Sus scrofa: one gene and its partners. The protein of the gene in region 4 interacts with the protein of the main gene of each other region in a pairwise test. Links are inferred from orthologs where the notes say so. Each region holds a gene or a part of one and is shown on either strand. Other genes may lie near its edges.

Evidence for each region.
Region 1: the proteins of CEP57L1 (region 4) and CCDC136 interact in binary tests that used the Homo sapiens proteins (3 or more experiments, as listed by UniProt). The two-hybrid records come from large-scale screens. The link is inferred for Sus scrofa from reciprocal best matches to the Homo sapiens genes CEP57L1 and CCDC136.
Region 2: the proteins of CEP57L1 (region 4) and RAD51D interact in binary tests that used the Homo sapiens proteins (3 or more experiments, as listed by UniProt). The two-hybrid records come from large-scale screens. The link is inferred for Sus scrofa from reciprocal best matches to the Homo sapiens genes CEP57L1 and RAD51D.
Region 3: the proteins of CEP57L1 (region 4) and DISC1 interact in a two-hybrid assay, tested with the Homo sapiens proteins (2 studies listed by BioGRID and IntAct). The link is inferred for Sus scrofa from reciprocal best matches to the Homo sapiens genes CEP57L1 and DISC1.
Region 5: the proteins of CEP57L1 (region 4) and KLC3 interact in binary tests that used the Homo sapiens proteins (3 or more experiments, as listed by UniProt). The two-hybrid records come from large-scale screens. The link is inferred for Sus scrofa from reciprocal best matches to the Homo sapiens genes CEP57L1 and KLC3.

Annotation. Positions count from the first base shown.
Region 1 is NC_010460.4:19,813,388-19,817,618, forward strand, and holds part of CCDC136 (coiled-coil domain-containing protein 136), read right to left. Parts: intron 1,136-4,231; coding exon 812-1,135; intron 1-811. UniProt on the Homo sapiens protein: May play a role in acrosome formation in spermatogenesis and in fertilization.
Region 2 is NC_010454.4:40,052,873-40,057,548, forward strand, and holds the start of RAD51D (DNA repair protein RAD51 homolog 4), read left to right. Parts: upstream 1-1,304; 5' UTR 1,305-1,458; coding exon 1,459-1,579; intron 1,580-1,876; coding exon 1,877-1,938; intron 1,939-2,122; coding exon 2,123-2,241; intron 2,242-4,676. UniProt on the Homo sapiens protein: Involved in the homologous recombination repair (HRR) pathway of double-stranded DNA breaks arising during DNA replication or induced by DNA-damaging agents. Bind to single-stranded DNA (ssDNA) and has DNA-dependent ATPase activity.
Region 3 is NC_010456.5:58,908,164-58,912,394, forward strand, and holds part of DISC1 (disrupted in schizophrenia 1 protein), read right to left. Parts: intron 3,385-4,231; 5' UTR 3,317-3,384; coding exon 2,378-3,316; intron 1-2,377. UniProt on the Homo sapiens protein: Involved in the regulation of multiple aspects of embryonic and adult neurogenesis. Required for neural progenitor proliferation in the ventrical/subventrical zone during embryonic brain development and in the adult dentate gyrus of the hippocampus.
Region 4 is NC_010443.5:75,169,312-75,174,004, forward strand, and holds the start of CEP57L1 (centrosomal protein CEP57L1), read left to right. Parts: upstream 1-1,681; 5' UTR 1,682-1,944; coding exon of another isoform or gene 1,945-1,948; coding exon 1,949-2,071; intron 2,072-4,693. Other genes in the region: SESN1 (sestrin-1), read right to left, coding at 1-242. UniProt on the Homo sapiens protein: Centrosomal protein which may be required for microtubule attachment to centrosomes.
Region 5 is NC_010448.4:51,733,428-51,736,840, reverse strand, and holds the end of KLC3 (kinesin light chain 3), read right to left. Parts: coding exon 3,407-3,413; intron 2,886-3,406; coding exon 2,712-2,885; intron 2,524-2,711; exon of another isoform or gene 2,182-2,523; coding exon 2,091-2,181; exon of another isoform or gene 2,017-2,090; coding exon 1,976-2,016; exon of another isoform or gene 1,893-1,975; coding exon 1,786-1,892; exon of another isoform or gene 1,600-1,785; coding exon 1,536-1,599; exon of another isoform or gene 1,273-1,535; coding exon 1,201-1,272; 3' UTR 1,088-1,200; downstream 1-1,087. Other genes in the region: ERCC2 (TFIIH basal transcription factor complex helicase XPD subunit), read left to right, coding at 10-80, 174-317, 396-539, 904-996. UniProt on the Homo sapiens protein: Kinesin is a microtubule-associated force-producing protein that may play a role in organelle transport. Plays a role during spermiogenesis in the development of the sperm tail midpiece and in the normal function of spermatozoa.

The DNA of each region.
Region 1 (4,231 bases), on a different chromosome or scaffold from region 4:
TGAGATTCTGAACTCAGGTCTGCTTAACTCCAGCCCCAGCCTTTCCCCTGCGCTGGCCTCCCTCGCCTGGTACCACCAGCCCAAAGGCTCTTCCGAGAGGCCTGTTAGGGCTGGGAAAACTTGCAGTTCTTTGGTTGCCTCTGCTTGACCCGGGCCAGCACAGGGCCTCCCATTATACCCAGATCATAAATCGAGCCTCAGAATAAAGGCAAACTCTCTGATGTCAGGAAGCCTAGCAACGAGCTGGGAGGCTCGCTGAGAGCAGAGCTCTCGCTTTTGAGTACCTCATGTTTTACTGGAAATAACCTCTCTTCCTCTCCAGCTGTCTCACGCTCTGCTTTGCTGCCTCCTAAAACTTCTACTTGGGAGGGCTAAAGAACAGTAAAAATTATCAGCCAGGGACGCTGGAGGAGGACTGGAGCCTCCACCCACCCCCGAATGTGACCCAGGCAAAGCACCATGATGCCAGAGCAGGAGGAGGAGTTTTCCAAGGTGACCGGCCCCTATAATGCCCACCCCAGAACTGGAAACTTCCCCAGGAAGGGCTTTAGCACGGGCAAATCAACAAATGCCAATGGCTCTCAGAGCAAGAATTCTCAGGGTGCAGCTCCACGGTGCTATCACAACGCCACTATGGACCTGGTTACGTGACATCCAGTTTTTCTCTTTTACCGTCTTGGGTCCAACCCGGAGGTTTTCTCCAGGGGCTCTCAATTCACGACCTAAGCCTGCCTTCCACCATCCTCTTGTACACGAACTCCTTCTGCTGGATCTGACCGACAGATCAGGAGGACGGCTTGCTTTCTCATACCTTGCATCTCAGAGAAGTCGGAGAGACTTAAGCTGTTGGAAGGGTCAGAGGTCTTCATTTCCATTTCTGCGCGGAGCGTGGTGATCTCCATCTCATACTCTCCCCGGATGCGCTCCATGTCCTCGAGTTCATTCCGCATCCGGCAGATATCCTCCTGCAGGGAGGCGATGTCACTCTCGTGATCGGTCGCAGAATCTTCCGCTGCTTGCCGCAGATTCTGGATCTCAGCCCGGGCCAAGTGCAGCTCCTGTTCTATCTCCTTAAGTTCATATTCTTTGTCACGCTCCAAAAGGGAAATCTCCTCCCGCAGAGAGCGCAGCTCGCCTGCAAAGCCCAAAGGGTGAGGTGAGCGAGAGGCTAAGTCAGCAAATCTACCCTATTCTAGAGGCACAGAGTTAAAGGCAGACTGATTTCTCATCTGGAAACTCCTGGTCTTTACCCCATCAGAGAAGTATGGCCTCACCTGGGATGGAATAAAGGGCACACCTAAGGGAACAGACTGAATCTGTGGGACGGTGCAGTAGAAAAGCAGGCCGTGGGAGTTCCCGTGGTGGCTCAGCAGTAACGAACCTGACTAGTATCCATGAGGATGTGGGTTCGATCCCCGGCCTCGTTCAGTGGGTTAAGGATCTGGAGTTGCCATGAGCTGTGGTGTAGGTCGCAGACGTGGCTTGGATCCCGCGTTGCTGTGGCTGTGGCGTAGGCTGGCAGCTGCAGCTCTGATTCAACCCCTAGCCTGGGAACCTCCATAAATCTTGGATGTGGCCCTGAAAAAACCAACCAAACCAACAAAAAAGTAGACCTTGAGGCTTGGCATCAAAAACAACTTAGGTTCCTCCAAACAAAAAGTACTAAGTGCTTCTAAGAAACTGCCTGACAGTTAGAGACCAAACCTAATCTATAGCATCTTACTGATGCCCTGAGTCTTAAAAGTCCCTACTAAAAAAATTTACACATTGGAGTTCCTGCTGAGGCTCAGTGGATTAAGAACCTATCTGCGGCAGATTGGGTCACTGTGGAAGTGTGGGTTCGATCCTCGGCAGATGCAGTAGGTTAAAGGATCTGGCATTACTGCAGCTGCTGCATAGACTGCAGTTATGACTGGGATTCAATCCCTCGCCCAGGAACTTCCATATGCCATGGGTGTGGCCATAAAAAAATTTACACAGACTATTCTCATCTATTCAGTCTGTAAGCTCAGAAATTACAGCGCCTCAGCTCTCCCATGAGCAGCCTGTGCACGTACTAGTCCCAAAACAATTGTGTATTTAGAGCTCACAGCTGAAATTCAAATATAGGTTCATCACATGATAACCAAACATGAGAAAATAACCTAGATGCTGCGGTACATTGAGGGACTGTTTAAACTCAAGAAGGTTAGCACCTCCCTTGCGGTGCATTGGGTTAAGGATCCTGCACTGTCACTGCAGAGGCTCAGGTTGCTGCTGTAGCACAGATGTGATCCCTGGCCCAGGAACTTCCACATGCTGCAGGTGGAGCCAAAAAAAAAAAAAAAAAAAAAAAAAAGTTGAAGGTTCAATAGCATACTGGCAGCATTTAAAAGAAACTGGCAGATCTATAAAGAAGACATGAAAATGTTTCCATAATATACTAACTAGAAAGAAAAATGAGGGAGTTCTCTTGTAGAGCAGTGGGTAAAGATCCGTATTGTCACTGCAGTGGTTTGGGTCACTGCTGTGGCACAGTGTCAATCCCTGGCTGGCCTAGGAACTTCTGTATGCCATGGACATGGCCCAGAAAAAAAAAAAAAAGAGAGAGAGAGAGAAAGAGAGAATGAATAGAAAGAAAAATGAACTGTAAAATACATGGTATTATCTATTTTTGCAAAAACTATGTATATAAATAATATATAACACAAATACAGGAAGACATAAAAAAAGGTCTGGAAAGATCTATGTCCTATCATAAAGCATAGTTGCTTCTGAGGAATAAGACAGCATGTGACAGGGGCTTTTACTTGCCACATCATATATATCAGTGCTGACTTTTCACAACAAGCCTATATTTTATAATAGGATTTAATGTACAAAATAAGTGTGTCAGAGCTCTCAGTATCTGTGGCGCATCTCAAGGTTTCTAGATACAGGTACCCATCTGGGATCAGGAGAACCTAAAAGGAGATTGAGAGTAAAAGGCACTGCCACCAATAGCAAATTCAAAATCTGGGCATCAGGATCGGGCGATTAGGGAGGACTGGGTGGGGAGGGTCAGGATTCCCACAAATTCTTTGCAAGGCACACTGTCTCCAGCTCTCGCCCCCAACACCTGCTCATTCTACTCACCAGATTTCAGCGTTCCCTAGCCTCTCCCCCTACCTCCTTAAAAAACTAAGCAAAGTCCTCCATGAAATAGTCTCACAGCCCCTTGTGCTCTGCAGTGTGTGTGTGTGTGTGTGTGTGTGTAAAACGTTGGTCTCCCCCTTACTTTGTTGTAAGCTTCACGAAGACCAGAAGTGTGTGCTTTGCTCACCATTCCAAGATCTGCCAGGGAACACTGCACACTGCACTCAATAACTACCTGCTGTATTCATGCATAAATGAGGCAGGGTTTCACCTGGTACACAAACTTTTACTGAGGATCATGGGTACAGAATTACACATTTGGCGTTTTTTGTTGTTGTTGTTTTGCTTTTTCTTAGGGCCACACCTGTGGCATACGGAGATTCCCAGGCTAGGAGTCAAATTGGAGCTGCAGCCACCAGCTTACTCAGCCACAGCAACTTGGGATCTGAGCCATGTCTGCAACCTATACCACAGCTCACAGCAACGCCAGATCCTTAACCCACTGAGCAAGGCCAGGGATTGAACCCGCAACCTCATGGTTACTAGTCGGATTTGTTTCCCATGTGCCACAATGGGAACTCCCAGGTTTTTTTGTTTGTTTTTCAAACTAGAAGAGAACACAGGTGTTTGAGAAGAAAAATTTGGACATACTGCACATACAAATGCTGAGTGGACAGAGTGTCTCCGGTGCAAAGAGGAAGGTCTCCCGCCTTCCTCTGCCAAGGTCACCTGTGCTACATCTTTTTGCCAGCCTTTCCTTCTCCACAATCATCCTGTCTCCACTCCTTGGTCTGTTCAAAAAGTTTAATTGATCACTTCTGGGCCATTTAGATTTTGACTTCCTTCCTCTTTGAAATAAAGTCCTTGCTGTTCCCACTACTGAAGGTCTGCCTCTTGGAACCTACGGTCTAGTAGTGAGACACCAAGACCACCTGCTATCAGGGCAAAGGCCTGGGAGGGTTTTCTGCTCCTTCCACCTCCTCACTAGGCCTTTGATGTTAGGGTTCAAATCTCCCCTGCCTTCTCCCCTGGGGTCTAGCCCTAAAAACTGGCATTTTCAGATCCACTGGGGAATGGAAGAAGGTGCCCTTGGCCTCGAGAAGCTTTTCATTAGAAA
Region 2 (4,676 bases), on a different chromosome or scaffold from region 4:
TCTGAAGATCTCAAAACGTTTCCTGCCTGTGCCCTTGGGACCTGCCCAGGGAAGGAGATGGATGGTGAGACAGAGGCACCTGGGCATGAAAGGAGGCTGGTGATACTGGAATGGGACTCGGGGAGTGACTTTGTCTACAGGCTCTATATCCAGAAATCCTAGGCAGCAAACCTCATATGTCTTAGCTGTGCAGGCACAGGAAAAACCCAGATGGTTCATAGCTCACATATACCCAGGTTTACTGCTAAAACTCTAAATTCTACTGAGCCCTCACCCCAGTGTCATCACGTCTTGAGGGATAGTGGGTGCTTTCAGAGGCAGACAGAAATGGGCCAGATGTTTCTGTTCTCAATGAAACCACTTCACAGTAGGGAAACATATACACAACTTGGGGGTGGGGAGGGGGCGCTGTTAAAACAGCACTGGCTTTGCACCGAAATATAAATTCGTCTGCTCCAAGTCCAGCTCTGTCCTTACAGGCTGTGAAACCTTTGGCAAGTGACTTTACTGCACTGAGCCTCAGTTTCCTCGTCTGTAAAATAGGGGTAAATACAGAACCTACCTCACTGGATTGTAAGAGGATAACCTTGTAAAGTTGTTTTCTCTCTTCCAGAGGGTAAGGTTAAGAAAAGATCTTTCAAAATACCAAATCACATGGTGTTCCCATCGTGGCGCAGTGGTTAACGAATCCGACTAGGAACCATGAGGTTGCAGGTTTGATCCGTGGCCTTGCTCAGTGGGTTAAGGATGTGGTGTTGCCGTGAGCTGTGGTGTAGGTTGCAGATGGGGCTCGGATCCCGCGTGGCTGTGGCTGTGGAGCGGGCTGGTGGCTACAGCTCCAATTAGACCCTTAGCCTGGGAACCTCCATATGCCATGGGAGCGGCCCTAGAAAAGACCAAAAAAAAAAAAAAAAAAAAAAAAAGTGTGTGTGTGTGTTCTATATACTCAGGGTTTTTACTGTTGATCATTCAAAATTACTTTTATTTGGAAAACAGAAGCAGATGTCCTCTCTGCGCGCTGCTGCTTTCAAGCACCTATCAGACGACTGCTGAGGATCTGATTAGATTCTTTGTCACTGTCTTCCCTCACCAACAGGTAGGTCCCTGAGAGTAGGGATGGTGGGTCCCATCCAACGTTCTGGACCAGCGTTCATTATGGAAAGTGGCACCAGGGAGGCTGGCGAGGAGGCGTGATGGGGAAAAGGCAGGGGACCCAACTTCGTGCCGCCCACGCGGGGCCGCGGGAGCCCTCCCGTCCGCCCGGCGGTCGGCAGGTGGCGCCGCAGGCCAGGCCCTGGAGCCTGGAAACCGGAAGCGGCGGCGGGGCCGGGCAGGCAGGCTCCTGGGCGCGGGAGACCAGGCAGGGTCCACACCCTGTGCGCCGCCTCCTCCCGACGCCAGCCCCCAGCGTTTGGTCCGGAAGGGGGTGCTGCGGGGTGTCTGGAGAGGGCCTCGCGGATGCCCCCAGGACCAGCGGCCCCGGGGCCTCCAGGGAACATGGGCGTGCTTCGGGCCGGACTGTGCCCCGGCCTCACTCAGGACATGGTCCAGCTTCTGCAGAGCCGCGGGATCAAGACAGGTGACCGTGGGCGCGCGCCTGTGCGGGCCACATGGCTGGGCCCAGCGCGGAGGCTGGCCCCGGCCCTGGCCCACTGGGTGGGGCCCCTCCCCTGCCTCCGACGCCCACAGCCTTCTGGCAGAGCTTGGGAGGGTGGGACTGGGCAAGCCCCGCTCCAGGAGGGCTAGAACCCCCCACTGTGGGCTAGGCGCCGCGCCAGCCCCCGCGGCTCCGCTAGTTCGCGTAGGCGAGGAAAAGTCACGGGCGGGAGTCTGGGGCCTCCCTTGCGCGCATCAACCCCGCGTGTTTTGTTTTCAGTGGTGGACCTGGTTTCTGCAGACTTGGAGGAGGTAGCCCAGAAATGTGGTTTGTCTTATAAGGTGAGCTGGCGATCTCCACACTCCAACATGGGTGTCTCTAAATGCCCATCCCCGAGCAGAGTGTCCCCAGAGATTGATAAGGGGGGGGCTAGGAGACCCTGGATGGCCCCCTCCCTTGGCGGGTCGCTGCCGCACACTCCCGGCTGCTCCGGCAGCTTCCTGAGTTGCCCCGCCCCTTCCGCAGGCCCTGGTCGCCCTGAGGCGGGTGCTGCTGGCTCAGTTCTCCGCTTTTCCCTGCAATGGCGCTGATCTCTACGAGGAACTGAAGACGTCCACGGCCATCCTGTCCACCGGCATTAGAAGGTTTGTGTGTGTGTAGCTGGGGCAGAAGGCGAGAGGCCAGAGGCTCTGGCTGGGCTTTTGATGCTTGAGAAAGAGCAGGCTGCTTCAGCTGTGGTTGAAGGAGACACGGGAGGGGGGTCAGGATTTCTGAGTTATCTTACCCTGTACAGAGTTTCTCTGACTCCTAACCACTTAGGATGCATAATTTTGGGGGTGGCTGTCTTGTGCATATAGTAGGATGTCTGGCAGCATCCCTGGCCTCCACCCCAGTAGATGCCAGTTACACCCCTCTCCTTCATAGGTCATGACTATCAAAAATGGCTCTAGCTGTTGCCAAATGACCCTGGGGGCCAAAATTGCTACTGGTTGAGAATCACTGTCCTGTAACACAAGATGTCAGCACTTCCACAGATATTATTCCACAGATCAGAGCAACTTTTCTCTGGCCCTTTCTGCCCTTTCACTTAAGGATGGGGCAGGGAGTTCCCCTTGTAGCTCACTGGGTTAAGAACCTGAGGTGGGTTAAGTATCCATAAGGATGCATGTTTGATCCTTGGTCTTGCTGAGTGGCTTAAAGATCTGACATTGCTGTGAGCTGTGTAGGTCACAGACGGGTCTTGGATCTGGTGTTGCTGCGGCTGTGGTGTAGGCTGGCGGCAGCAGCTCCAATTTGACCCCTAGCCTGCGAACTTTCATATGCTGCGGGCACAGCCCCAAAAAGAAAAAAAACGATGGGGCAAGAGAGCACAACTGAATACCATTTATTTGAGTGCCTACTATATACCAGCCAGGGCTCCAGCCCTGGCGCACTTGATCCAGAACCTGGTTCTTTCGCTGTACTCTGCAGCAGGAAGGGACAGGAGTGATTTATGTTCTGCTGTGCAGTTTGGAGAGGGAACGCGTTGGAAGAAAACAGGCGGCTTCTGGCCAAGGAAGGCTGACCTCTTTCCTGGCCTGTTTGTACAGAATTTGATAAAGAGCACTGCCACCACCAAGGTCTTTGGATTGGTTTGGCCTTTGCTCTTTCCCGTGCATGTCCTCTTGGCAAGGTTCATATAGCATGGCGCCTGCTTTCTGCAGCTGGGGGTCCAGGTCTGTCATTCATCAAGCACTGGCCAAGTGCCTATAGGTGACAGATGTATGCCAATGATACGAATATGCGTGAGGCAAGGCCCTCGCACTTAAGGAGTGTGGGGTCTGGTGGGTAGAGAAAAGCAAGGGACAGAAGAGAGGGGTGTGGGCACGTGTGTGTTGGGGGTGGTGACTAACAGGGAGCAGCCTTGGCCTTTGGGAATTTATAAAACCAGCCCAGGCATTCCCACTGTGGTGCCACAGGACCAGCAGCATCTTGGGAGCCCTGGGATACAGGTTAGATCCCCAACCTGGCACAGTGGGTTAAGGATCTGGTGTTGCTGCAGCTGTGGCTTAGGATATGATCCCTGGCCTGGGAATTCCATGTGCCATGGGGCGGTCAGAAAAAAAGAAGAAGGGGGGTTCCCGTCATGGCACAGTGGTTAACGAATCCGACTAGGAACCATGAGGTTGTGGGTTTGGTCCTTGGCCTTGCTCAGTGGGTTGCCGAGAGCTGTGGTGTAGGTTGCAGACGCGGCTCAGGATCCCGCGTTGCTGTGGCTCTGGCGTAGGCCGGTGGCTACAGCTCCTATTAGACCCCTAGCCTGGGAACTTCCATATGTCACGGGAGGGGCCCTAGAAAAGCCAAAAAACAAAAAAAAAAAAAAGAAGAAAAAAACCAGCATATACTGAAGCAGCATTTCGGAAACAGTCAGGTGGAAAATTGGCAGAATGGCAGCTGCCATGGGTCACTGCAAGGGACTTCACTGTCTGGGAGGCTCTGTGGAGGAGGCAGGCCTTGGGCAGTCTGGAACGGATGGGCTTTCTGAGCACTCACCAGGAACCAGACACTGTGACCTGAAATAACTGGATACCTCCTTGCATTTATCTTCACAACCACAATGAATGTGTTCCCCTGAAAATCACCATCCTGTAGATGAGAAAAGCGGGACAGGTAGTGACTTGCTCAAGATCCCCCAGCTAGTAGGTGGCAGACCAGGCCCTTGAAGTCATGCCTGTCACATTCCTAAGTCTAAGAACACAACTCTAAATAACACGTCTGCCCTGTTGCCCCCCCTCCGGGTGGGAGGCTTTCTTGCGCAAGTGGACGTACAGGCGTGGCGTCGAGGTACTCCGGTGGATGGGGCCAGGGAGGCTGGCAGCAGAGAGCCCCGGGAGGATGTGGCAGGGGAGGGCATGTGAGCTGGTTTAGGGCTGGTGACAGCAGGAGGCATGTTGAAGAAATGTGATAAGCCTGCCCACCCGGGGGGATAGAGAGATGACCCGCCAGGAGGTCCCTTCATGGCTTAGCAGTTAATGAACCTGACTGGGATCCATGAGGATGTGGGTTCGATCCCTGGCCTCGCTCAGTGGGTTAAGGATCT
Region 3 (4,231 bases), on a different chromosome or scaffold from region 4:
GAAAAAAAAAAAAAAAAAAACATTCATGCTACCAAAACCCAGGGGGCAGAATTGTGGGCTGACTGCCATGACTCACCACCAGGCAAATCTCTGTTTGGTTATTGGGGTGGGGTCGGGAGCCAATCTTTATAACCACATTCTACGTCTGCTTGACTGGGGTCAAAACTCTGATTTGGGAATTGGAGAAATAGAGATATGGTGCCAAGATTTTTTTTTTTTTTTTTTTGGCTTTTTGCCATTTCTTGGGCTGCTCCCATGGCATATGGAGGTTCCCAGGCTAGGGGTTGAACTGGAGCTGTAGCCACCAGCCTATGCCAGAGCCACAGCAACACGGGATCCGAGCCGCATCTGCAACCTACACCACAGCTCACGGCAACGCCGGATCCTTAACCCACTGAGCAAGGGCAGGGATCAAACCTGCAACCTCATGGTTCCTAGTCGGATTCGTTAACCACTGCGCCACGACGGGAAATCCCCGCCAAGATTTTTTTTAAAGGATCTCAGAAATAACGTGTTGGAAATTGTCATTTAGAGTCCGAAAAGCATCATGGTACAAACCTCCACCTAGTGCCTGTATCCTTGTATGTGTGCCTCTCAGCCCCTCTCCTTAGGCCTCAGACAGACAACCACAGAAATCTGTCAGTTAGATATCTATGGCCCATCTCTTTTTTTTCTTTCTTTGTTTTTTCATGGCCACACCTGCAGCATATGGAAGTTCCCAGGCTAAGGACTGAATGAGAGTGGCAGCTGCCAGCCTACACCACAGCCACACCAGATTTGAACCACATCTGTGACCTACACTACAGCTTGTGGCAACGCTGGATCCTTACCCCACTGAGCGAGGCCAAGAATCAAACTCACATCCTCATAGACACTATGTCAGGTCTTTGACCCACAGAGCCACAACAGAACTCCCTGTGGCCCATCTTAACAAGCTAAATTATTTCACTGAAAACAAACAGTAATCAAGCACCAGGCAGTAGGCCAGGCATCATGCATCCAAAAATATTTAAGAGGAGTTCCCGTCATGGCTCAGCAGTTAATGAACCCGACTAGTATCCAAGAGGATGCTGGTTCAATCCCTGGCCTCCCTCAGTGGGTTAAGAATCCGGCATTTCCATGAGCTGTGGTGTAGGTCACAGACACGGCTTAGATCCCACGTTGCTGTTGCTGTGGTGTAGGCCAGCAACTGTAGCTCCGATTCAATCCCTAGCCCAGGAAACTCCATATGCCATGAGTGAGGCCCTAAAAAGACAAAAAAAAAAAAAAAAAAGTCTGAGTCAAGTGTAGAACTTGGACCCACAAGCAAATGATTATTAATGTGATGAGCACTGAATGGGGCACATCCAAAGGGCTGAGGGACAGGATGGAAGGAGAGGGTCATCGGGGGTGGGGGGGGGGGTAGGAGAGGTCTCACACAGAAGTGGCTCTGCCACCTCCCTGGCTGATAAATCCCACAGCCAGGCTGAGACAGGGCAAAAGGGCCGGGGCCAAGAACATCGGATATGCAGTAGAGAGCAAAGGAGATCCACTGCTGGGAAGGAACATGAGCCTCACATTTTCACGTACTCCTACCAAATCCTAATGAGACTCGACTTCCCTGCTTACGCATGCATATCCCCACATGCACACGTGCACACATGCACACAGCCCAGATGGAAAACACAGTCTCTGAACAGGATGAGCCAATGGGTTGCCACAAAGCCTCTCTGCGCGGGTTTCTCTGGGGACTTCTCAGGGTAGAACAGCCCTGTCTACCCCCAGCTGTACCCCCTCAGATGAGTGGACAGCAAGTCATGATGCTGGAACTTGCTTCTATACCGCCTGTCCCAATTTCCAAAGCACTCACATTCCAGCTTGAGCCACAGAACAATCTTGTGTGATGTCAGCATCTCTAAATAAGGAAACTGAGGGCCTGAGAAGTTTAAGGACCAGAAACAAAATCAGTAGTCCCTGCTGCTGAGGATGCCATGAGCACTGCGCATGCAGAAGCAGCTCCAGATCGCCCCCAGTTTGGGGCATCATCATCTTTATATCCACACAGCGACTGACTCCACCTCCCCGGCTCCCTGTCCCCCTTCTCCTGTTTAAAACAGAGCAAGGCTGAGCTAACCCTGCATCACCCAGACCAGAAGCTGCAGAGGAGCCTGAAGCCAACAGAGAGCGAAGCAAGCATCTAAGGGACAGAGGATGAGAACGAGACCAGATTAGAGTTCCAACAGAAGGAGGAGAGATGCAAGTGTAGCAACATTTTTCCATGGCCAGTCACCACAGGGGCTTCCAGTGGGGACTGGGGCAACCCCAGAACCGCCGTTTCCTGCGGCCCCCCCCCTCCTCAGTGAGACCATCCCAGCCCACAGGCTCGGGACACACCCACCTCCAGCCGCCTCCGCTGGCCCTGCAGGCAGTGCAGCAGCGCAGGCTCACAAGTGCGGAGCAGTGGGTCCCAGAGGTCAGCATCCTGAGGGTGGCTGCCCTCGGGTCTCGAGGGATCCAGGGAGCAGAAGGAGGCAGCGTCCATGTCCAGCAAAGGAAGCATCTCGCACTCCAGTCTGGGGCTGTCCCCCGCCATCTGGGCAGCATCTGCCAGGTCCTGAGGAGCCTTGAGGGGTGAGGCGGGAGAGAGAAGCTGAGGGTGTTCATGGGGCCCGTCCACACCAGCAGCCTTGGCCACTGTCTCCTCGGGGCTCTGATGAGAAGCCTCAGCCTCTCTGGGTGGCGGACAGCCTTCTGCTTCTCCACGTTCCCCGGCAGAGACCAGGGAGAGGCGAATGAAGCTGAAGTTGGAGGTGAAGACATCCTGAGAGCCAGGAGGGGTGGGGTCGACCTTGGGGCCACTTCCGAGGCTGCAGTTGGTGCCACTTCCCTCCTCTGGGGATAGAGAGCCTCTGGCCCAGGTGTCCAGGGCTCCTTTCCCACAGGCTGCTTCCCGACTCGGGCTCGGAGCCTCCCAACTGTCCATGGATGGTGGCGCCCCCTGGCATATGTTGTCCCCGGAGCCACACGACCTAGTCAGCCTGCTGGGCAGGGCGCGGCCACCTCTGGGCTGAATCCCTGAGAGACCCAGGGTTCCTCTCCCTGTTGTCAGAGCCAGGCCTCGGGGGCCCGTGGAGGTCCAAGCAGAGGCTGCTGTGCTCCAGGGAATGAGGGTCCCGGTCGAGGGACCCTGCCCCTGGCCTCCAGGGTCACGGCCACATGGTCCTGTCCTGGGTTCAGAGTGCTGGGTCTCCTCACTGCATGCCCCTCCCTGGGCCCGGAGCAGACTGCCCACTGCTGGCGAGAAGAACCTGATCCGGGGCCCAGCTGCACTTCTCATGTAGCCTGGCCTCCGTGCCAGCCGCCTCCTCCGAAAAGACGCTGCAGGTGGTGAGCCATCTTGGCGGCCTGGGAGGAAAGAGGACACGCACCATCAGCACACACATCTCCCCAGCTCAGCTGCAGCTGCATTTGGAGAACGTCCCCGGGTTGGGGGCAACCCTCGGTGCATCTGCCAAAGAGATGCTGGTGCAATGGCCATGGGGCCAAGCTGCTACCCAAACCCTGATGATCCCTGGGAAGCGTCTGCCTGGGATGTGTAGAAACTGCACAGCATCCCAACCCCTCTATTTCCAGAGCAGCCAGCACTGCTGTGAGTTATACTGACAAGACTGCAAGCGCCTCAGAGACCCAACTACGGCAGCACATTCTGAGCCTCCAGCATCTTGCCTGTTGCTCTTTTAGGCACACAGAGCTTTCCCCCTGGAGCGGCATGGAAAGCAAGCACTCTGAAGCCAAACACCAGCACACTCCCAAAAATGAGAGCCAACCACCAATCTGACCACTCTTTGAACACTGTGTGCATTTTCATTAGCTGTGCTCTCCGTGTCCTATCTGACTGTGGACTGTGGGCAGCTGGCGGTCACACAATCTATGCCCATGGATTCATCTCACAGTGAATTACAGGGGGTCCTGCTTGTTGTTATCTCCAAACCAGGAGCTGTGTTCCCCTCCCAGCTATGCAAGAGGAATTTAAGCAATTAAAAACGCTGATACAACTCAGAGGCCTGATGCAACAGCAGTTGAGAGTGTAGGCTCTGGCACCTCTTCAACTGGTTGCAACCTGGCTGTGCCGCTGCTGGCTGTGTGACTTTCCACAAGTTACTTAGCCTCTCTGTGCTTCAGTCTGCTTATCAGTAAAATGGAGAGATGAACAGTACCTCTCTCCTAGCAAGGTTATGAGCATTAAGCTAAA
Region 4 (4,693 bases):
ACATCTTTAAAGGGACACCTCTTAGAAAGCATAAGCAGATGAGCAAGAAGCTTATTCAACCCATCCAAAGAAATGGCATTTGAAAGGCCTTCTGATGGACGATAAGGTGTCTCTTTCACCAAACGAAGACACTCGGTTTTTCTCACGATGATTTGCCTAATGTTTTCCAGTGCGGTCTCTCTAGTAGTTGAATCTCTACTGCACAGTCCATCCCATCTCACTTCATTCTCTCCTTCAGCCATGACAACTGGAGTTTTTTTTCCTGCCCTCTTCAATCTTTCAGCATGTCCACCACAGCACTTCGTATTTTTAAAACGAGAAATGTAAGAAATAAATCAGAAAAATCGAATCGTCACGAAAACATAAGCCTGGGTGACATTGGTACCAGAAATGTCTTCGATCTACCAGACAGAGCTCGCCCTCTCCTTCTACCCGGAGTAGCAGTCTTCTAGTCAGACAAAAAAAAAAAAAAAAAAAAAAAAAGTTGGAAAGTTGAAACCTTACAGAGCTGGCTTTGCTGGACAGTGTCGGGGAAGTGTTCCTCTCCGTCTCTCGGGGTCAGCGGATATCCTCAAGCCGTGGAGCTGTCAAATCCGTGCTCTGCCCCAAAAGGCTGGATACAGTTGAACGCTCTGCAGCCACTCGGTGTTTTTTGTCCGTGCAGCCACGGTGTTCTCGGGAGCGTTCCCACCCCGCCCCTCCTCCGGCACCAGTCCCCGCCCTCCGCAGCTCCTCCCGCCCGGCCGGGCGCTGGCTGGAAAGGCTCGCCGAACCCTGGCTCGCTGGACGCCGCGGCTAGAGACCCTGGCGCTCCCCAGGGGCTGCAGTCTCGTGCAGCCTCTGTCTCGGTGGTGGCGTTGGAGGAACGCGTCTCTGGCTCTGCGGATTCAGAATCCACGGGCTGACGCTGCTTCTCTTCCAATCCCGGTATCCTCGCCCACTGCCGGCCAACCCAAACCGGCACAGGGCAGCCCAGCAATCCCCGATCGCGGGGCTGGGCCGCGAAGCTGGCGGAGCGGCAGGGCCCCAGGCGCAGAACCCGCCCCTTCGCCCAGCCCCATCGATGGGGCTCGGCCCAGAGGGCGGGAGCGGGGAGGGGAGACGGGGTCCTCACCCCCAGCCCCTCCCCTTTCTCCGCCCGGCACAAGCCAGGAGCCGCCCCTGCCCCTGCCCCTGCGCCCTCTTCCCCGCCCAAGCAGACGCGACCCGCTGAGGCAAAGCCATCGGAAAAAGCCCCGCCCTCCAACAAGCTACCTCCGGACCCCGAGCCCGCGAGCGGCCGCCAACCGCTGACGGCTGCTACGCATGCGTAACGGTGGGCCGGGCGCATGCGCCTTAAGAGGCACCGAATCTGCTCGGGGGGCGTTTTTTTTTTTTGTTTTTTGGTTTTTTTGGTTTTTTTTTGCCTTGACGTTCGGCTTCTTTGGGCTGAACGGGGGTAACGAAAAGTTGAAATACGCCGAAATTATCACACACGAGACAAGAACCGCAAATAAGGAGGGCACAGATAAACTCCTGGAAGAACTCGAATCAAAATTTAAAATCAGAGGAAAAAATAGAAACTCTTTATTGCGCCAAACACCAGATTTAAGAAGGCAGGGCGTCCTCGCATTGACTTCTGGGAAGTGTAGTTCTGGTGCTGTAGGCGCGTTCTGTTTGAGACAGAAACTACAGCTCCCGGGAGCCACTGCGACGTTGCCTGTGGCTCCCTGCGAGCCAACGGCTAGCGCTGCCGGAGATTTGACTGAGAGATTTGGCTTGGTGAGCACTGTGGGCTTGGCTGACACTTTTCCTTTGACAGTATTTTTCCTTCCTCCATTTCCTGTGGGATTTTAGAAAGGAAGCCGTCTCCTTAGAGCTGTACTCCTTAGTCCAGGGACTATCAGTAATCTACGTGGGAAGAACTAGTCCGAGTGCCCAAGACCGCGGGCGCGTTGAGAGGACATGGATGGTCGGAAAGAGCTGCATAAGGTCAGGCAAGAGGGATGCTGTGGAAACTAGTGCTCCGCGGTGCTACCTCTGCTTCTGCTCTGTCAGGTGGGCTCACGCGGGATGGACTCAGTATCCCTGTGTAAGTGCACCTTTGTTTGCCATTGCATAGGATTGTTTGAGGCTTTATTTGCGCAGAAGAAATCCTGTGCCACACTTTGAAAGAGAGTTGTCAAATCCTTTTTGTACAAAACTGAAGGGAAAAGAATCCCTCGTGTTCCTAGATATGAATATTTGCAGGCTTTAAGAATACCATATGGAAAAAAGACTTATAAAAATCTCTAAAATTTAGTAATTTTAAAAGATTAAATAATTTGTTTGCATATTGCTGTTTGAAGTCATTCTTCTTGAGAAAAGTTGAGGTTTGAAGGGCTATCACTGGACTGATAACAAATTAGTTTTAATTTTTCATGTTGCACAATACATGCGTTTCTAAAACTTAGTTTCTAAAAACCAAGTACTGGACAAGTGGAAAACGCACAGTTCCCATCTAGTTAAACTAATGGTTAAACATTATACAATACATATATAAAGTACAGTACACACATTAAACATACAGTACTATATGATATTATTAGGATGGCTAGAAAGATCACTTAGGCCGGTCTTGGAAAGTCAGGGAAATCTTCATCTCAGGGAAAGAGGGTCAAAAGAACAGCATATGGTGAGGCCAAGAGTGAGGGAGATAGTAATTTCAGGAAACTGCAATAAGCCAAAATCATATACATTTCAGGAGGAATAGCTTTTTGTGTTTTGATGTACAATACAGCAAAGAGAAAAGAGTAAAGAGCAGAAAAGAGAAACGTACTATGAATTTTCCAGATAGTTTCTGAAAGTGACCTATCCTTGAACAGAGTTCTGATGAATTGGTTTAATTTGGAAAGCCTAGAACATTCTAATGTTGCTTGTTTAAATCAGAATTTTAAAAAATGAGAACTTCCTTCTTATGAGTATGATTTCAGAAAACAAAGCCACTCCTTCTTGTGTCTTTTGGGGTGGGGGGAGGCTCATCTTCCTTTGTCCAACCCACAAAGGATAGGGTAGTTTCTTAAGTGTGGGTCTCCTTTTTACTTTGTGATTGAGTATGATCTCATTCATAGCCATGGTTTCACCACCACCTATGACTTAAATGTATAATTTCATCCAACTTCACCTTTTAGCTTTGTTTCACCACCACCTATGACTTAAATGTATAATTTCATCCAGCTTCACCTTTTAGCTTTCTTATGCCCATCTCTATGGTGTTTCTTCTTGGATATCTCAAAAGCACCTCAGACTTAACATGCCTAAAACCAAATGAACAGTATCTTTTATGAATCTGATTATTTCCCAGTGTTCCCTATTTCACTTAGGGCACTGCCATGCACTTGTGAAAATTTGAAACCTATGCATTATCCTTGATTTCCTAATGTCCTTCATACCTCTGTAGCCAAATTATTTTTAAGTACTCTCAATTTTGTCTCCCAAATATCCCTCAAATCCATCCTTTGCCTCCATCTACATAAGCACAGTCTTTTCTAAACTGCCATAAACTCTTGCCAGGAATGGTGAAATAGTGATTATTCACTCTGGCCTTTCTCCATTAGTTCTCCACACAGCAGCCAGAATCATCTTTTCAAAATGCAAATCCATTCAGATTCACATTTTCACTTAAAACCATTCAGTGTGTGTCCTACTTTTAAAGGCAAAATTTCTTTACAAATGTCATCTTATGTCATCTGGTCCCTTCCACCTCTCCAGCCTCACTTAGTACACCACTGTCCACCTATCTGTGGAGACCTTTCTTCAGTTACTGGCTCTTATATTCCTTTTTATCCATTTGTTCACTGAACAAATATCTTATCAAATACCTACTGTATAAGGGGACATTGAGGATATACTATTGAGCACAATGTATGAAAGTTTTTACTCTCATAGGTCTTCCATTGTGCTAAGGAGAGATAGACAATAAATATGTGGCATATATAGTAAGTGAAGACAAATGCTGCAGAGAAAAATAAGAACCAGCGGGGAAAGGGAATGTGGAGTGGCAAGTTTTAGGGGCAAGATTCTCTTTTAAATAAGGTCAGAGAAGGCCTAATCAAGAAGGGAACATATGAGGGATCTGAAGGAGGGGAAAGAGTAAATGTGCAGGTGCCTGGAGGAGAAACATGTCTGTGAAGAGAACAGCCAGTGCAAAAGCCTCTGGGTGCCCACATTTAACAAATAGCAGTGTGGCAGGAGATGAGAATAACATGAGATCACAGAGGAAGGAGGTCCTGTAGGTGATTGAAGGAACAATTTTTTTTTTCTTTTTTTCTTTTGCTTTTTAGGGCCGAACTTGGGGCATATGGAAGTTCTCAGGCTAAGGGATAAATGGGAGCTGCAGCTGCTGACCTGCGCCACAGCCCCAGCTACAGGGGATCTAGGCCTCATCTGCAACCCACGCCACAGCTCGCAGCAACACCAGATCCTTAACCCACTGAGTAAGGCCAGGGATGGAACCCACCTCCTCAAGGATACTTGTCAGGTTCATAACCTGCTGAGCTGCAACGGAAACTCCCAAACTTTGACTTTTTCGATGGAGATAGGAAGCCACTGGAGGGGGTTTTGAGCAGATGGGTTGCATGTTCTGACTGTTTAAATTGATTACTTCTTTAATTGTGCTGATCATAGACCATGGAGAAGCAAGGGTAGAAGCAGAGATGCTAAGTAGGAAGCTAAA
Region 5 (3,413 bases), on a different chromosome or scaffold from region 4:
CGCCCCCAGTGCACCACTACGGGCGGGCCGTCATCATGTTCGGCGTGCCGTACGTGTACACCCAGAGCCGCATTCTCAAGGTGAGCAGCGGGAGGAGGCGGGCTTCTGTTGGGCCTTCCCCTGGGGTCTTGTGCGGCGTGAGGAAGGGACGTCTCCCCTCTCTGCACCTGCAGGCGCGGCTGGAATACCTGCGGGACCAGTTCCAGATTCGAGAGAATGACTTTCTTACCTTCGACGCCATGCGCCACGCGGCCCAGTGTGTGGGTCGGGCCATCAGGGGCAAGACGGACTACGGCCTCATGGTCTTCGCTGACAAGGTGAGGAGTCGGGCCCGGCTGGGGGTGCCCGGGCCCCCCTCCCACGGTCCTGACACCTGGCCTCTCTCCCGCTCAAAGCGGTTCGCCCGGGCAGACAAGCGGGGGAAATTGCCCCGCTGGATCCAGGAGCACCTCACAGACGCCAACCTCAACCTGACCGTCGACGAGGGGGTCCAGGTTGCCAAGTACTTCCTGAGGCAGATGGCACAGCCATTCCACCGGGTGAGCCCCGGGCGACCGAGCTCCTCTTACAGGAGGGACCCTGGCTTGCTTTCTCCTTGAGCCCCAACACCCCCCGCCCCTGACAGGTTTGTGTGCGCCCATGTGCCAGGCCTGGGGGCTGCAGAGGTCAGCGTGCGTCCAAGGGGCCTCTGGAAAGCCGGTCCTGCTCCGCCTTGGATGCAGCCCCTCTGCCGGCCTGTCCTCTGTTGACAGGAGTGGTCCGCTCTGCACTGGACATGTTTCCAGATTCAAGCATCCTGTCCCGTGGCCTCAGGCGGGCCACCTCCCTTCACTACTGGCTGCGGCGTGGACCCTGGGTCGGATGTGCGGCAGCCGTCTGACCTGCTTTCTCCCTCCCCTGCAGGAGGACCAGCTGGGCCTGTCCCTGCTCAGCCTGGAGCAGCTCGAGTCAGAGGAGACGCTGCGGAGGATAGAGCAGATCGCGCAGCAGCTGTAGCATGAGCCAGGCGGGGCCGCCAAGGTGTGCGCATCATGCCCAGTCTTACCTGGCCCCGGGGAGGTGCTGGAAGGTCAGGCGTGCATTTTGGCTGCCACATCCACAGCCTTTAATGGCAGGAGAAAGGACAGTGGGAGGCTCCCCTTCCCTCCCCACCCTCTCCCATTCCTCCCGAGATGCTGCGGCCGCGTGGTCTTGTCGCCTTTATCGAGGGCCAAGGTCCTGGGTGCTGGCGCTGAGGGTCCGGGAAGCCTCACTTAGGTGCCGGCTGGAGAACTGGAAAGAGGCACGGGGGGTAGGTGGGTGAGTGAGGCCCGGACCTAACTCTGCTCCAGCTGCCACTAGGGCTACTCCCTGGCAGCCTGGCCGCCACTGGCTGTGTCACTCATCCTCCTGTCCCCACCTCTCCCGCCTCTGCCCGGATAACCCATCCAGGCCCCCGTCCTGGGGTCCTTTCCCGTGCCATCCCCCCCTTCCCTTGCCTCTGGGCCCGACCTCGTGGTCCCCCACTCCCTCCTTGCCCCAGGGACCCCCCTCACCGGGAGCCCAGTGGCCCTTGGCCCATCCACGTTCAGCACGTTGAGGGACACGGCTCTCTTCATCCTGGAGGAGGTGGGGCACCCGTGAGTCTGGGCGTGTCGGGCTCCTGTCCTGGGGCAGACCCTCCAGCACAGGGGTGCTTGTATGTGTTGCGGGGGAGACGGGAGCCGTGGAAGGTTCTTGAGCAGGACAGGAGGGCTACAGAGGGGGCGTCTGTCCAGGCTCTCCCCCACCTGATCCCACACTCACCCCGCTGCCCCTGCCGCCGCCTCCCCTCGGAGCCGGGAGACCAGCTTCTCGCTTCCCCGCCGGATGGACTCCCGGAGCTTGGAGAAGGAGCTGCTCCGCCGAAGCCTCTGGGAGGGGGGCGCCAGTCAGTCCTCCCATCCAGCCGGTCCACCCCCCCATCCCCCGGGAGCCGAGCGAAGCCCCTCCTCACCTGCTGTTCTGCACCCCCGGCTGTGCCTGTTTTCAGGGCTCCTAGGGAACAGATGAGGACATGGTAGTGGGGACCCTGAGCAGCCTCCTGGGGGAGGGCGGGACTGGGGGCTCACCGAGGGGCGCGGGCAGGTCCTCCCTGCGGAGGATTTCTTTGTACAGCTCTTCCGCCTGCTGGTACTTGTTCTGCTTCAGGTAGGCTGAGGCCTGCGGGGAGGTGAGGGCCTGGGTGAGCTTGGCTCAAATCTGGGAGCTTCCCAGCCCCCCCCTGGGAGACACCTGGGCTCACCCTACACTCCAGGCCTCAGCCTGCAGCAGAGTGGGCTCGGCGCCCGACCCCACCGCTTCCCCCAGGGCAGCTGCCTCCCTGACTCAGAGCAGGAGCCTGCTCCCCCTCGACCTTGAGCCACACCTGTCTTTGCCTCCGTGTCCTCGTCTGCAGAATGGGGCGGCAGGAGCACCTACCTCGTGGGGCCCTTGAAGAGATGGGCAGTACAGGGCAAGTGCTAGGAAGGGGTCTAGCTCAATAAATGCGCTCATCTGCTCCTGGCTGGTCTCCGCGGCTGCCTCGTCGCCTGGCGCTGACCTCTGGGCTGAGCAGCCTTGCCTGCCAGGGCCCAGCTCGGAAGCCGAGTCTCACGGGACCCCTCCAGGGCCGGGCAAAGTCAGGTATCCCACCCTCGAGCGGACGCCGGGCCCTGGCTGTCCCCCCACCCCCAGGGGGGGAGCGCACTCACCAGGTTGTTCTTGGTCTTGGCCACGTTGGGGTCGTGGGGCCCCCCCAGGGCCTCGTAAATGCTCAGGGCCCGGGCGTAGTGCCGCTCCACCTCCTCGAACTTGCCCTGGTTCTGGCAGAGCAGGGCCAGGTTGTTGAGCTGCTTGGCCACATCCGGGTGGTCGGCGCCCAGGACCTAAGGGTCACGGGGTCACATGTCACTGGGGTCATCCAGGGCTGATGGGCCACATGATGCCAGTGGCTGGAATGAGGACCACGTTCACGAATCGGTGACCACAGGACCTCTGTGGAAGATTCTAGGAGGTCGGAGTGGGAGACAGGGGCTGCACCATCAGATGGGATTAGTCAGGTCAGAGATCATGGGGGTCCAGAACCTCATGATTATACGTCAAGGATGGGGTTGCACTGGTCACCTGGGGTTGGAAGATCAGGAGTGGGGTTGGGAGCTCAGGACTGGGGGGGAGGGGGGCCAGGAGGCGAGTCGCAAGAGGAGGGGGTCAGAGCCAGGAGTCAAGGCCCAGTGGAAGTCATGGTAGGTCAAGGGTGGTGGGTCAGGGGATTGAGGGCTCTGGGTGCAAAGTGGGAGGGGCCCAAAAGGTCAGAGGTCACCGGAGCAAGCAAGGGTCCTGCCGAATTGAGTGTTTCAGGATCAAATGGGAAGGGCTACACACGACAGGGGCTCCCAGGGAGCAGGACCTTCTCA